Linked DNA regions of Oryzias latipes. The protein of the gene in region 1 purifies or fractionates together with the protein of each later gene. This does not show direct contact. Links are inferred from orthologs where the notes say so. Each region holds a gene or a part of one and is shown on either strand. Other genes may lie near its edges.

Region 1 (4,416 bases):
GAAGTGTGAGAGAAAGACGTAAGTTCCATACAGGCCATTTTCCATGTTCAACATCCCTGCTGTCCAGGTTTTGTTACCGTGATGTTGCTTCCAAGTTGAGTCTGTCGATTTCAGTCTTGGCTTGATTCAGCTGATCCTGCAGCTCCTCCTTTTTCTGGTTCAGTTTCTCGCGGGCTTCTCGCTCTGCGAGGAAATCTGCTTTGTAGATCTCAGCCTGGAGAAAAATAATGCAAAAAACAAAAAAGAAAACAAAGCTGAAGATGTGTGTGTGTCTTTATTCCTTTTAAATCATTCTGTGAAAAGAAATGTATTTCTTTTTTATTTCCACAACCATGTGCCTGTAAAATTGTCAGATTTAAAGATTAGTGCATTTTAATGAGACTGACTTGGCTTCTTTTGGTGACCTAGATTTCATAAATTCTCATGAATTTTCCTGTCACGACTTTTTGAAATTTCAGAGCTGAAATGTGGCAATTTAAAAGCGAAAAATGAGACATTTCTTGTCTTTTCTATTTTTGTTATTTTGTTTTTTCAGTACTTGGTTTATAGTTTCAATTCCGACTTTTTGTTTTTTCGCTGACCCTAATTTTACGTGGGAATAGGGCTTTGACCCCATTAACCACCAGGAAGTGAGGTGATGATTATAATTACTGTACGCCAAATCAGAGTTTCTAGATTTGAAATTAATATACATTTTGTTTTTATTTTACATTTTTTGCCAAATTAACACAATTTTTTTTCTGCGTTTGAAGATTTTTTTTAAAGATTTACACTGTGGTTTTTTATCTAGTTTAAATTGATCTTGATTAGGTCTCCTAGAGCAGCGCCCCCCCACCCCCACCCCCCAGCTGTGTAATGTTACAAGGATGCTGCTAATAAAAGTTGCTCAGTGAATTCTAGTTTACTATTCAATTTATATTTATTTAAATACCATTTTTGGTGGCCATTTCCTTTATTAATCTGCAGCATCTTTAAAGTCAGATGAGGCTGAAGTTGGCATCTGATTTTTTAGCTTCTACTTTGACTGTTATGGGTTAAGGGAAAATCTATTTCCCACTTTAATGGTTCCTACATCACATCTAGTGTACAAATAACGTTTAAAGCAGCTAGCCTCAGATATTTTTACAGAGGATCAAGATAAACTTTACCTCCAAAGTAAAGGGGAAACTGGATGCTTCAGCCCACTTCAGCCTATATTGTCTGACATTATACCGGTCCTGAAAAAGCTTGGGGACCACTGCCATAGAAGTCTTCAGACGTATGTCTGGGATTTTAGACGGAAGTAACAAAACACTTGCAGTTTAACTAGAAAAACAGTGATGAGAATTTCACCTGCGCAGTGAGGACAGGCACCGTCTCCAGAGAGCCTTTCAGCTGCTCCACTTCCTCCTTCAGTTTGTCAATCAGGTCCTGCTTCAGGGCCAGCGCCTGCTCTGCCTCATCCAGCCGGCTGGAAAGATCTCCTCCCTGGAGAAACCGGGAGGAGGACCATCAGGATGAAAGGAGCAAAGCAAACCAAGGTAAAAATATAGGTGACGGAGATTTTTCTTACTTCGTTCTTCAGCTTGGCGTCATAATCTCTGAACAGACATGTGTATGCGTGCTGCAGCTGTGTCAGTTTTTTCCTAACAGAACAGAAACACGTTCATGTCCTGCACAGATTAGACCTGGAATAAATCCTTAGCAGCGCTGTGCTTGCACCTCTCCTCTGTGACCACGTGTCTCTCGACCTTCAGCGCCTGCTCCAGGCTCTGCGACTGCAGCATCAGCTTGTCCACGGCCACGTGGTGCTGCTTCCTCTGCTGCTCCAGCTCCCGCTCCGCCGCCTGCAGCGCCTTCACCTTACTGCCTAGCCTGTGCACAGAAAAGCCCCCACCCATGAGAGGGCTACTACCCACGTGTTCATGTCCTTTTCAGTCAGACGCTTACTTCTCCTCCAGCATTTTGCGCTCGTGCTCGCTCTTCTCCAGGCAGCTCTGTCGTTCTTGTAGTTCCCCCAGCAGGGAAGTTGCCTGAGCTTTCAGGGCTTCACAGTCTTTGGCCAACTGCACAAACACAAGGAGAGGTGAGGTCGACAGTTCTCTGAAGTGGAGCGCTGCTGCCGGACAGCAGGTGTGCGTCATACCTGCACGCAGTCCTTCTCCTTCTGTTTGAGCAGCGCCTCAGTTCTGTCGCGCTGAGCCGAGCTCTTCTGCAGGTAATCCAGCTTCTCCTCCAGCTCACGATACCTGGATATCAAACTCATCAGCATTTCTTTTCTATATTTGACATGGTTCTAGATTCCAGAAAGATCAGACAGTTTTCAGAATTCATGATACACAGTAATAAGGTTGAAATTTAACAATTTCATATTTGTCTTTTGCCTTTTGGCGGCTTTCTTCAGAGGTCACCACAGTACTCATCTAAAAGTCAAGGGGGTCAAACTTCAGGCCTTGAAGAACAGCATCCTCCTGGTCTTTTCCAGAAATCCTGCCTTATCTGCTGCTGATAACCTGGATCAGGCGTGTTTAGCCAATAAAGAGCTTCTATGGCAGGTTAGTTGGAAAACATTTAGCACACCGGCCTTTAAGGCCCCTAATCTAAATCCTATTCATTTTTAAGTAAGAGATCCATCAAAAGTACAATAGTCCTAGTTGTTGCACTTTATTATCAAGATAATTAGGTTTTCCTTATAGTTTCAAGGACTAATCGAAAGTAAAAAAAAATATTTAAAAAACTGAAAAACAGCCCGAAAAGTTCTTAAGTATACAAGTACCTTGATGTTGAAAAACATCTTTATTTTTCTGGTCTGCTTCATTTTCCCTATTCAACTGCTTGAATCTCACTTTCTTCTCCATTTTTAAATGTCTGAACTGGTGTGACAGATCTCCCTCTGTGGTGTACATCCCCTTCTTGAGGAGATTCACATTAATCAGGTGAAAAATAAGTCACTTAAGGGTCTTAAAACTACAATCCCTCTAAATGGTACAATTGGAAACTGCAGCTGTCATCTGACAGCGAAGTTTAAACTAGAAAGGAAAAAGTATTGCCTTAGTGTTTCATTAGAATATGAAATCACTAATTCAGGGATGATTAAATTTGGCCCTCGGTTTTTTCGTTTTTGTTTAATCGTATTTCTTTTTTATATATATATATATTTTTTTTTTTGGCTGCTGAATACCGCTTCCTTAAATTAAAATATAAAAACCAAATTTGTTGAAATAACTTTAAAAGACCTGAAGAAAATTGTTGGGTTTTGCAGGGTTAAAACCCTCAAATTTAGGAACATCTTCATTTGATATTTACATTATTTTATGTATTCATACTTATTTGTTTCCATTTATTTATTTATTTCTAAATCTATTTAATTCCATATCAGTGCTTATACCTATTCTTTAAAGTTTATTTATTGATCTTTACTTTTATCTTTACTTTTATGTTTCATGTTTTGTTCCAGCGATGACGCCTCCTTAGTGAACGGGGATCTCCTGGGTCTGGCTCCTTGCTTTGATCGGGGGTGGCGGGGGGGTGGGGTGTCCTGTGCTTGTGTCCTCTATGAATATGACTGTTTTTATAGATCAATATCATCTCCGGGCTGCATCTCCGGTTCAAGTCCCCACTTCAATAACATGCCAGATTTGTACCTCCCATCTTAATTCATTTATCATTTTGTGTTTCATAACGTTGCCTGTTGGGGGCTCAGAGGGGCTGTATTGTACTTTTTTTGCTTTTGGCTTCTGAGTTAAATATTTTTCATAATAATAATATGTAAAGCCCTTTGTGTGACATATGTAGCCTCTGTAATAATTTCAGGAACATGAAAAAGATTTAGAGAAAAGCTGTGTCAGCTTGTGATGGTGATTCACATGAAAAAAAGATTCATAACAAAATATTTAAATTAGAGCTGTGACGGTGTGGGATTTTTGATCACTGCGGTGATGAACCAGCAGGGGGCGCGGTGTCGCCTGATACCCATGAAGAACACGGGGCAGGAGGCTCCGCCTTTGTTTATACAGAAACGTAACTTTGCGCAGCACAAAATAGTTCCCAAACAAAACATGTAGTGATTTTCATCGAAATCTAACAGTACGCGTTCTGTGTTACGGAGTGAAAGAGAACCGTAATAAACCGTAAAAAACTTTAAACAAAAAAAAAGTGCGGTGATGCGGTTATCGTCACTCCCCTAATTTAAATTCTATAAACATTTTCATTTACAAGCAAACAGAGGAAAGTAGGTTTGGTTGAGGGACAGTAGAGCAGCATGCAGATATGGAGACAGAGAAAGCCAAACAGGGCGCCGGCTCACCTGCCCTGCGTGGCCTGAAGCTGCTGTGTGAGCTTAGCCAGGCTAGAGCTGGAAAAGGGACAAGAAGATGAGAAAGGAGACGAGCACATCTCAAGTGGATCCAAAGAAGCATGTGAGTGTGTGTCAGAGCA
Region 2 (4,516 bases), on another chromosome or scaffold:
TTGTTGAATGAGAATTTTTCTTTCAATATGAGAGATCAGGCTGCTGTTTAGCACGTGGTCACTTTGAGTGAAACAGTTCTCTCTTCAGGTTCTGGTGTTTCTGTCATCCAACTTTCACTACTGTGTTCTTTATCTGCAGCTGATTGGTCCAGCAATGAGACGTTCTGCTGATGAAGCTCACTTCCATCCCCGCGCCTTTAGCTCAGCCTGCTCTCTCAAATCTGATTCCGAAATCCAAGAGGAGGAGCCTCCAGCTTGTGGGCGGAGTCAAGCCCCCAACATGCCCCACCCAGGACTCAGTGTTTCCTCCCTGTTCGAAACTGAGGAAGACTTCAGTATTGACTTCTAGCAGCTCCTATGTGTAGTCTGGTTCAAGTGTGCTGCTGGTGGAGGTGTTGCCGTGGAAACAGGTGATATAAAATTACATTTAGTGTTTCATTTGGACTGTTTTGGTTCTCAAAAGCAGCCTGCTGTGCACTTGGCAGTACAGGTGTGTATCAAGACTCCACCCACTCGGATTCCTTCATGTTTTTATTGTTCAGAAACAGATTAATAAAAGACAGAAACAGGTTAAGGAGTTGATTAACAGTTGAACAGATAGAAACTCAGGTTAAATAAAGCAGCTGGTGCGGTCACTGTGGTGGGCGGGGCTGCTTGGCGTACTGGATGGCGTCCAGAGCCGCTCCAATGTCAAAGTTTTTGGCCTGGAGGAGTCTGGTGAGCCAGCCCCCCTCATCAGTGAAGCCCATCGACAGCATCTGAGCCAGAGACTCCACCAAGTGGGGGTCCGCCTCTGTGGGGGGCAGAGGGAGGAGCTTACAAGAGGGCAACAGTCATAGCAAATGATACTTGTGAGAACTAGACTCACCTTGAGGCAGGTGGGGGTACAGCGCAGCCTCCCGCAGACCTGTTGGCCCCTGCTGCCCTCCCGACGGGGGCCCCTGCTTCCCTCCCGACGGGGGCCCCTGCTGCCCTACCGACGGCTGCTGCCCTCCCGACGGGGGCCCCTGCTGCCCTCCCGACGGCAGCTCGCACTCGTGGTTCTTGGGGTCTAAGGATTGCAGCTCCCCCGTGGACGGGTCCACCTCTTTGGAGCTCAGGTGAGTCCACTCCTCGTCAGAGTCCCGGCTTGCCTGCGTGTACGTGGGGACGAGGGTCAGTTGTTGACACGTTCATTTCAGTCATTGATCAGTGAACACAGACTGACCTTTGACCTCTCAGCAGTTGCAGACTCCCCTTCGTTTACATCCATTGCCACATTGTCATCCCCCCCTCCAGCCTGAGTGGGTGGATTCACCTTCGACCTCTGCCCGTCATGCTCAACATCAATGTCCACGTCGATTCCTGCATGGAAATCATGACATCACTTCCTGCCTGTCCCCCAAAAACAGCAACTCCACTATGTACACTCACCCAGGGGGCTCAACATGGCGGCAACCCCCTCCCCAATGTTCTTCAGGAAGTCCACACTAGCCTGGGAAGCTGCAGAGGTCAGAGGTTAAGGTGGGAGCATGTTAATGCCCTAGGCTCAAACGTTTTTTGAGTTTCTCTCACCTGATGGTTCTCCACCGTCACCCGAAGATGCTGATGGCCTTGGCTGGTCCTGCTGTTCCTGCTGCTCTGGGTTTTGGTTTTGATTCTGGTTCTGGTTCCACATGCAGTGTCTCATTCTCTTCATCCACTTTCCACGGGGAAACCACTGCAGACACAGTTTCTGGTTCAGTCAGTGCATTTTGGCTTTGACCAAAAAGTCCTTTCTTTTAAATCAGCACGATGTCCAGACAGAAGTGGAAAGACGATTAGATGGTTAGATGGAGTAACTCACCTGCAGGGGGTGCCAGATGGGCAGCAAAGCGTGCTCAGTGTGCTTCCCTTGAGCCTGGCAGGTGGAGCAAAGGTCGTAGTCGGGACAAACGGAGCACTTGAACCGCATTCCCACAACCGGCCCTTCACAGCCGTCACAGGTGACGTTAGGGTGCAGGGCGGGGGGAGGGCCGTGATGTGGAGCATGAGGGGGGCCATGGGGTGGTGGGTGTCCAAACATGAAAGGGGGTAGGGCATGCAGTGGGAAATCACGGCGGTGCTCCTTCTTCTCTGTCAGAGTTCAGGAAGAAAAAAAAAAAAAAAACCGTGAGGGAGGACTGCTGGGAGGTCACTCTGATCTCACACAGGAGGCCGTGCATTTACCTTTGATGTAGAGGCGGAAGGTGGAGTCCTTCACGCAGCCCAGGCCCATCATCAGCTCATCATCAGAAGAAAAGGCCACCAAATCTCCATCCTCATCTGAAATATAAACCGGAATCACACCTGAAGCTCCTCCCCTCTACGTCATAAGGTCCCACCTACTCCGCCTGTGTTTGTGTGTGGGTGTGGGGGGGGGGGGGGGGTCTAAACTTCGGGCCTCCTGATCAACTGAATATTTTCAATTGCGCACAAATCAAAGGACAGAAATTTGTGGGCGTGGCTACATGCGTCACGTGACAGCAATCCCTTTAAATTAGCTGTTTCTTAAATAAGTCAGTGGGCGGATTATGTTTGTACAGATTCAAATGTCTACAGTCCTTCTATATACTCGAATGTTTCTCTAAGTTGGTCTTCCGCGTTACTGCGGCTGTTTAATAAAGTATTGACAAAAAGTTCGGTTCCAGGTTAGTGAGTATGACGGTTCCGATCAGACCCAGCGGATCCCGGCTCTGTCTGACCCGGCCCATGCGGCTCACCTTTGTAGAAGAGGTTGAAGGAGGAGTTCATCAGGTTGGAGAAGACCGCCGCGGTTTTCTTGCTGAGATATTCGAAGTTGCAGGACACGTCCTGGTCCACCGCGAAGCGGCGGATCTCCTTCACATGCTCGTCCTTCCCCAGAAGGTAAGCCTTCACCGTCACAGACATGCTGCTGCTGCTGTGGACTCCGAACCACAAAGTTCTGACACCGGGAGCAGGACCGAGACACAGACGCAAAACCGTCACTTGAACAGTCCAAGAAAAATCCCAGTTTGTGACGCAGCGATAAATTTCAGCCTCTTTTATGTTTACTTCCGCAGGTGACGTGATTCTGTTAACAGTTGCGCAGCCGCGGATTGGTCCGTGTAAAAGGAACGCCGGTTCCAGAGGTCCAATCAGAGGCCGTCTTGTGTGTCACGTGATCAGGATCCCAGCAGACAGTTCACACACATCGCGGAGTCACCGTGAGAAGGCAGACTGCGGCCATGAAAACACGGAAACGATGAATCGCCTAGAGACGTCCTCCTGTGTTTATCAAACCTGTGGCCCATCGGAATGGATCCTTCTAGAATTAGTAGGAAAGTTCTAGACTGCTTCAGTACTTTTAGTGTTTCAGACTAAACAAGGGAAAAAATTTAATCTTTTCAATTTAAAACTATGGAAGTTCATTAAAGAGAAATTAGTAACTAACCATAAAATGTCAGTTATTTTAAATAAATAATTCATTTAACATTGGAATTTTTTTCCTTAAAACAGTTAAACTTCATTAGATTTTTTCTTTTGGAGAAAAAAAACGTTATATGTTTTTGAAATTTGTAATTCATTTTTTCTCAGCTGTTCAAGGAGGAGCCTACATTTTTATGTTATTCTTGTTAATGTTATAATGTAATATTTATTCTTTAAAATTATTATTGTTTTAGAGATTACTTCCAAGTCAAAAGGAAAAAAGTTTGTCACAAGAAAATAATAATAAATAATCAGGCCTTATAACATCGAAGACAAGTGAACAATCTAAACCTAAGATACAACTTTACTTAAATAAATAAACCAAAACTACAACGCCATTGTTTATTGAAATCATCAGGGTTTTTTGTTTAAAGCCAAAGAGACCTAATGGAAGGTTAAAATAGCTGCATGAAGACTAATATATTGTATTCTAGTAAATACTCATGATTAGTTAACTGTAAGCATTTTTCATGTCTACCATTATTTGTCCTGGATCACTGAGAGGGAGTTGATGTCTAAAATTCTTCAGTTATTTTTCCTATTCAGAGGGAAAAAAAGAAAAACAATTTTCAGAAGTGTAGTAAATGGATTACATCTGTAAACTACCAGTAATGATAAATTCATAGTCAATGTTTATGAGGAAATCTCCTGATATTCTGTCCACCTTTAGGTCTTCTCTTCAAATCTTAATGATTAATTCACCAACATGGGGAATTTGCATGCTTTGTTCAGTTGTGTGTACTGTTGTGTGTTTGTGTACTCTGCCTTCATGCACGCCTTTGTGGTGATGTCACCCACCGTCCTGAGCCAATCAGCTGACAATGACTCACAGTCACATGAAGTCAGTAAAACCAGTTCAATGACCACTGAGGAAAAAACCGTGAAGTCATGGAAGGTGGTTCCCTGAGAAACCACATCAACCCTGAAGACCTGAGAGAGGCTCACCTCTGCAGGACTGCAGCCTGGAACCTTAGTGACCTGGAACCCAAAACCTTCCGTTTATCTGAAGCTCCCACAGTTTCACAGATGAAGAGTGTGACGATCAAAGAGTCTGACTTTCACCTGTTTC
Region 3 (4,416 bases), on another chromosome or scaffold:
ATTAACGTGGACCTGTAGAGAGAAATAGGTTGGAATCTCCTTAATCTGCAGCCACATGCTCAAAATGTCTGATAGCTGCCGTAAGAACAGAATCTGTTACCACAGGTTTCCTGCTTGCGGACTGAGTGCACAGCTTCATAACCGATCTGAGACTAGACATGGCGCCTTCGTCCGACATTTTCACTTTTACACTGGAAACAAAGCCGCTGAGTTCCTGAGCCAAGGCCTGGTCAGGAGATCAGCAGTCTCTCAGTGCACAATCAGAAACAAATATCTCATTTGACAGGAAGATAGGGGGTCAAATCAGGACCAGCTTAAAGTGAACGACAAAACAGATTGTACTTTCAAAAACATACAGTGTATAGTTGAAGAAGAAAAAAATGTACAATTGTAAATTAAATGATATTTATATTTCAAACTTGTTTTAAAATTTAATAATAGGTCAATTTGAAACTTGAATTTGAAAAAAAAAATAAGTAAACCTAAATTGAAAAACAATGTTTGTTTGTAAAAGCTGCTGTTTTTCATTTTCCACTTTGGTTTTATCCACTATGATGCGGCGCACAGTAGGGATAAAATGCTCGCGAGGTTTGGTAGATCAGAGGAGGGATGACACAGCAGACGCTGTTTTGGTGGGGCAATGACGTCACCATGAGCTCTGTCCCGTGATGTCAATCATAGCTGAAAGCCCCACCCCTAAAGTAAAGTTAGGCTTAGCACCGAAAGCAAAAATTCTGAATTGAAACAGTAAACTAAAGAGACAGAGAGAAAAAGAAAAAAGAGATAATATAAAATAGCGGCTGTTAAAATAAAAATCATTTTTCATTTGGTAACAGCTTCAGGTTGATGGTATTTCTTTTAATCCAAGTTTCAAATGATCACGTTTACAATGCATACTTTTGAGTTTAAAAATTTTCTCATTTTTTTTAAACTTACATACTGTTTTTTTAATTCACTTTAAGATGATTTACCCCCATAGGAAGAAGGCAAGATGAGAGGAACCACTGCACCTTTGCTTTAGTGAAGAGCCGGGAGCAGCAGGCCTCGTCCTGAGTCACACATCCCGTAGAGACGTAGCCCGCCAGAACACCAATCAGCAGAGCACAACAGCGCACCAAGCACTCCGGAGGAACGGACGGAGACTGCCGGGTTCAAAATAGGAGTTTCTGACCAAACCAGCAGACACAATAAATAAATAAAGCCTCTACTCACATCAGGAGAATAACAGTTGAGCAGGCTGTCCGCCACAGAAAGCACAAGCTGCTCCAGCTTGTTTCGGAGGCCGAGGACGGCGGGAAACTGACAGTCGGCTGACGGCGCCGGCTCGTTGGCGCGTGCTGGGATCTCTGACGCATTAAAGCTAAAGTGCAGGTAGAGTGTCTCAATCTCCTCCAGGTTTTCTTTGGCCTCGGATGCTACTTGGTCTCGAGAAGAGCCGCTACAGACAAAAACAGCAGTTATTCACACTTCCAGAAGGTCACTGCAGGGTTGCAAAAGCAACTAAAGGTTTAGAAGACTTCAGCTTTCAGGAAACAGCTGTGTGGACACTAATGCATATAATTGGAAATTACAAAGACTTTGTTTTTTTGTTTTTTTTTACCTTGCAACTCCCTCTGTACCCAGTAGGAACTTCAAGCCAACTCTTGTGTCTTTCAGTGTCAGTGAGACCAAAATATTTGCTATCAGATTATGAGGAAAATCTCTGCAACAGAAAAAAAAATATTTAATTCAGAGAGAAGAAACCAAAATATAATTAAAAGCATATTTTCTACGGGATAAAAAAGAAAAAGATAGTGGTGACTACGCGACAGCAGGGACCTGCAGATGATTGGATGAGGCCTGCTGCTGTCCTCGGTCTCATCATTCTGGTTGCTCAGCAGCAGCCAAGCAATAAGATTTTCTTTCAAAAAAGGGGATGGAGATCCCTCTGTAGCTCCCAAAGAGTCCCAGATGGAGCTCGACGTGACACTTTTTGGGACAGGACACTTGAGGATTGTGTGGGTAAGACAAAGAGCAGAACTCCTGTACATAAAAAAAAAGAGAAAAAGGACTGATGATGCTTTAAAACATTTCAATTTTATCAACTTAAAATGTATTAAATCGTTGTTTTTTGCACATTAAAACAAATAACTCACTTGGATGGCTTGCATGCAGACCCAGAGAAGAGTTTCCAGAACTCTCGGTCGACATTCACCAGCCCGCCGTGCACAATGGAGGCCAGCAGATCCAGGCTGAGAGACTCTGTGTGGGGTGAGCCGACACCTCGCACACCGAGGGCCCAAATGCGAGCCCAGAGCCGGTCAAGCTCCGCCTTGTGGGCCTGGGCTTTGTGTGGGCAGCGGGCCTGGCAGAGTGCCACCTCCCTGAGGCAGCGCAGCACGTACAGGCTCCTCTCACCTCTGCGCTGCTCTGCTAGGAGCTGGTGCAACGCCGACAGCAGTGGAACCAGCTCCCGCCTGGGCACCGTAGACGAGTACTTACAGGTGAGCACTGAGGTAATCTGCAACCTAAAGACAGAGAATACATGCTTGAGAAACTTTTCGGGGCATTTTGTCCGGTTGTAGAGTTTTTTTTTAATTGTAACAGATTTGTGAAATGAATACCAAGGGATGATGTCAAAGTCATCGGATTGAGGCTGCAGACGTTCGAGGAGCACTTCCCAGCCCATTTCAATGCGCCGACGTTTACTGGCTGCACCGTGGGAGGGACTTCCCATCTGCGTGGCCCTGTGGGGGGCCTGCGTGACCTCCAACGTATGGCTCCCACTGTCATCAGTGAACAGCTACAGCAAACCAGCAGCAAAGGATTATTGAAACAAAAAAAAAAAGAGGATAGACAAAACTTGCTTAAAGACCCACTATGATAAAAATGTTGTTTGTGGTGTTTCTTACATGATGGAGGAGGTGTAGACAGAAAATTAAGCTTAAAGAGCATTTTCTGAGTATTTCTTTATTAAAATAGTTGTGGATCAGCAGCAGAAGAAAACACTCTGTTAGAAAGTGACGTGGAAAATACGCTGGGCGCCGTATCTGATGCATCCTTGTGTAGACAAATAGATCAATGTAAGTCTTTTTCCTCGTCTGAGCTTGAATCTGGATCAAAACTGTACGGCTGGATAATTTCAATATTGGTCGAAATTTTGTGTAGCAGTGCCAATGTTAGGCCTTGGGTGTGAGGGGCTGTAAGCTAGCGCATAAGCAGAGAGCTCTCAGTAACAGGGAAGGGGAGCAGGCTCCACGCCAACCGTCCCGCCCACAGCTCAGAGGTGAATTTCTAATGAACTACTCCTGCTCTGCAGAAACTATGTCCTAGAAAACAACACAGGCTTCTCTTTTAGGCTTGGGTCAAAACAACAATGCTTTTCCAACAGACTGGACTTCATGATTGATCTGGAAATAGGAGCAGCAACTGCTTACCTGGTGACAGATGTCAGCCGTGAGCTCGATCAGATTGTCTTTGACAGCTACGTGTCGGCTCCCTGTGGCGTACTTCCCTCTGCTGCCTATCTGGCTGATCTCTCTGACCAAGGAGTCGTACAGGCTGTACAGCAGACCACGCCACCTCGTCCAGTCTTCAGCGTGAGCACCTACAGCAACAAGAACCCAACAAACACTGGCTTTGTGCCCATTGCAGTTGGAGCCAACATACTTGATTAAATGTGTTTACGAAACATGTCTTACTATTTCTACATTCTCTTCTAATTCAAAACATCAGTTTTCCTTGTGGTTTTAATTTTGTGGAATAAATGGGAAACATTGCTCCACCTGTGTCGTGTGTTTTGGCTCCTTTAGGGTGGTGAACACACATCTGGAGGTTCAAAAAGTCCACAATCTCCTCTTTGAGTGGTGCACTTGGCCTCATATCTGCCCACACATACAGCACAGAGGGCAGCAGCTCCTCCCCCAGGCGACACGCTCTCATCCTGCAGTTGACGGCCGCCGACCTCAGGAAGACGTTCAGAGCTGAGACTAAATGCTCCAAGACCGGCAGGTGTTTCTCCTGCCTGCAGGTGTGTGAGGAAACTTTAGAAACTTTACCGCAGCACAGCTGAAGAACGTTGCATTTGACATTTCACCTGGCATTAAGCAGAGCTTTGGTGAAAAAGCCGAACAGAGCGTCGGTGAAGGCGTCGGTCTGCGTGCAGCAGCCCCGCACCAACGTGTGGATGACTCTGCTGAGCAACACACGGTTGATGGATCTGGAGGAAGAGTTAAAAAAGCCACAGTACAAATCCAACAGATCTATGAGAAAAAACAAAGAACAAGAAAATGATATGTAGAATTCTGGAGAATAGAGCTGACAAAGCAAAACTTTCCAGAAATGGAGTTAAAAATGCTTCCGCACTCTGCCACTGCTTCTGAGAGATGTCACACCAGTACTTGCGGACGGTGAGGATGTCCTTTAAAAGGATGCTGC

Evidence for each region.
Region 2: the proteins of ikbkg (region 1) and sqstm1 purify together in Homo sapiens (affinity purification with western blotting; 3 studies listed by BioGRID and IntAct, with this or other methods). This does not show direct contact. The link is inferred for Oryzias latipes from reciprocal best matches to the Homo sapiens genes IKBKG and SQSTM1.
Region 3: the proteins of ikbkg (region 1) and atm purify together in Homo sapiens (affinity purification with western blotting; 7 studies listed by BioGRID and IntAct, with this or other methods). This does not show direct contact. The link is inferred for Oryzias latipes from reciprocal best matches to the Homo sapiens genes IKBKG and ATM.

The regions. Positions count from the first base shown.
Region 1 is NC_019865.2:4,843,755-4,848,170, forward strand, and holds part of ikbkg (NF-kappa-B essential modulator), read right to left. Parts: intron 4,334-4,416; coding exon 4,286-4,333; intron 2,229-4,285; coding exon 2,126-2,228; intron 2,046-2,125; coding exon 1,930-2,045; intron 1,855-1,929; coding exon 1,702-1,854; intron 1,626-1,701; coding exon 1,553-1,625; intron 1,468-1,552; coding exon 1,333-1,467; intron 215-1,332; coding exon 78-214; intron 1-77. UniProt on the Homo sapiens protein: Regulatory subunit of the IKK core complex which phosphorylates inhibitors of NF-kappa-B thus leading to the dissociation of the inhibitor/NF-kappa-B complex and ultimately the degradation of the inhibitor.
Region 2 is NC_019868.2:3,816,773-3,821,288, forward strand, and holds sqstm1 (sequestosome-1), read right to left. Parts: upstream 2,890-4,516; coding exon 2,721-2,889; intron 2,284-2,720; coding exon 2,188-2,283; intron 2,095-2,187; coding exon 1,826-2,094; intron 1,700-1,825; coding exon 1,555-1,699; intron 1,483-1,554; coding exon 1,414-1,482; intron 1,345-1,413; coding exon 1,208-1,344; intron 1,134-1,207; coding exon 869-1,133; intron 794-868; coding exon 633-793; 3' UTR 519-632; downstream 1-518. Other genes in the region: mrnip (MRN complex-interacting protein), read left to right, coding at 140-349. UniProt on the Homo sapiens protein: Molecular adapter required for selective macroautophagy (aggrephagy) by acting as a bridge between polyubiquitinated proteins and autophagosomes.
Region 3 is NC_019871.2:24,880,160-24,884,575, reverse strand, and holds part of atm (serine-protein kinase ATM), read right to left. Parts: coding exon 4,345-4,416; intron 4,242-4,344; coding exon 4,076-4,241; intron 4,004-4,075; coding exon 3,765-4,003; intron 3,587-3,764; coding exon 3,417-3,586; intron 2,783-3,416; coding exon 2,604-2,782; intron 2,508-2,603; coding exon 2,136-2,507; intron 2,023-2,135; coding exon 1,819-2,022; intron 1,703-1,818; coding exon 1,601-1,702; intron 1,439-1,600; coding exon 1,213-1,438; intron 1,143-1,212; coding exon 1,011-1,142; intron 227-1,010; coding exon 101-226; intron 13-100; coding exon 1-12.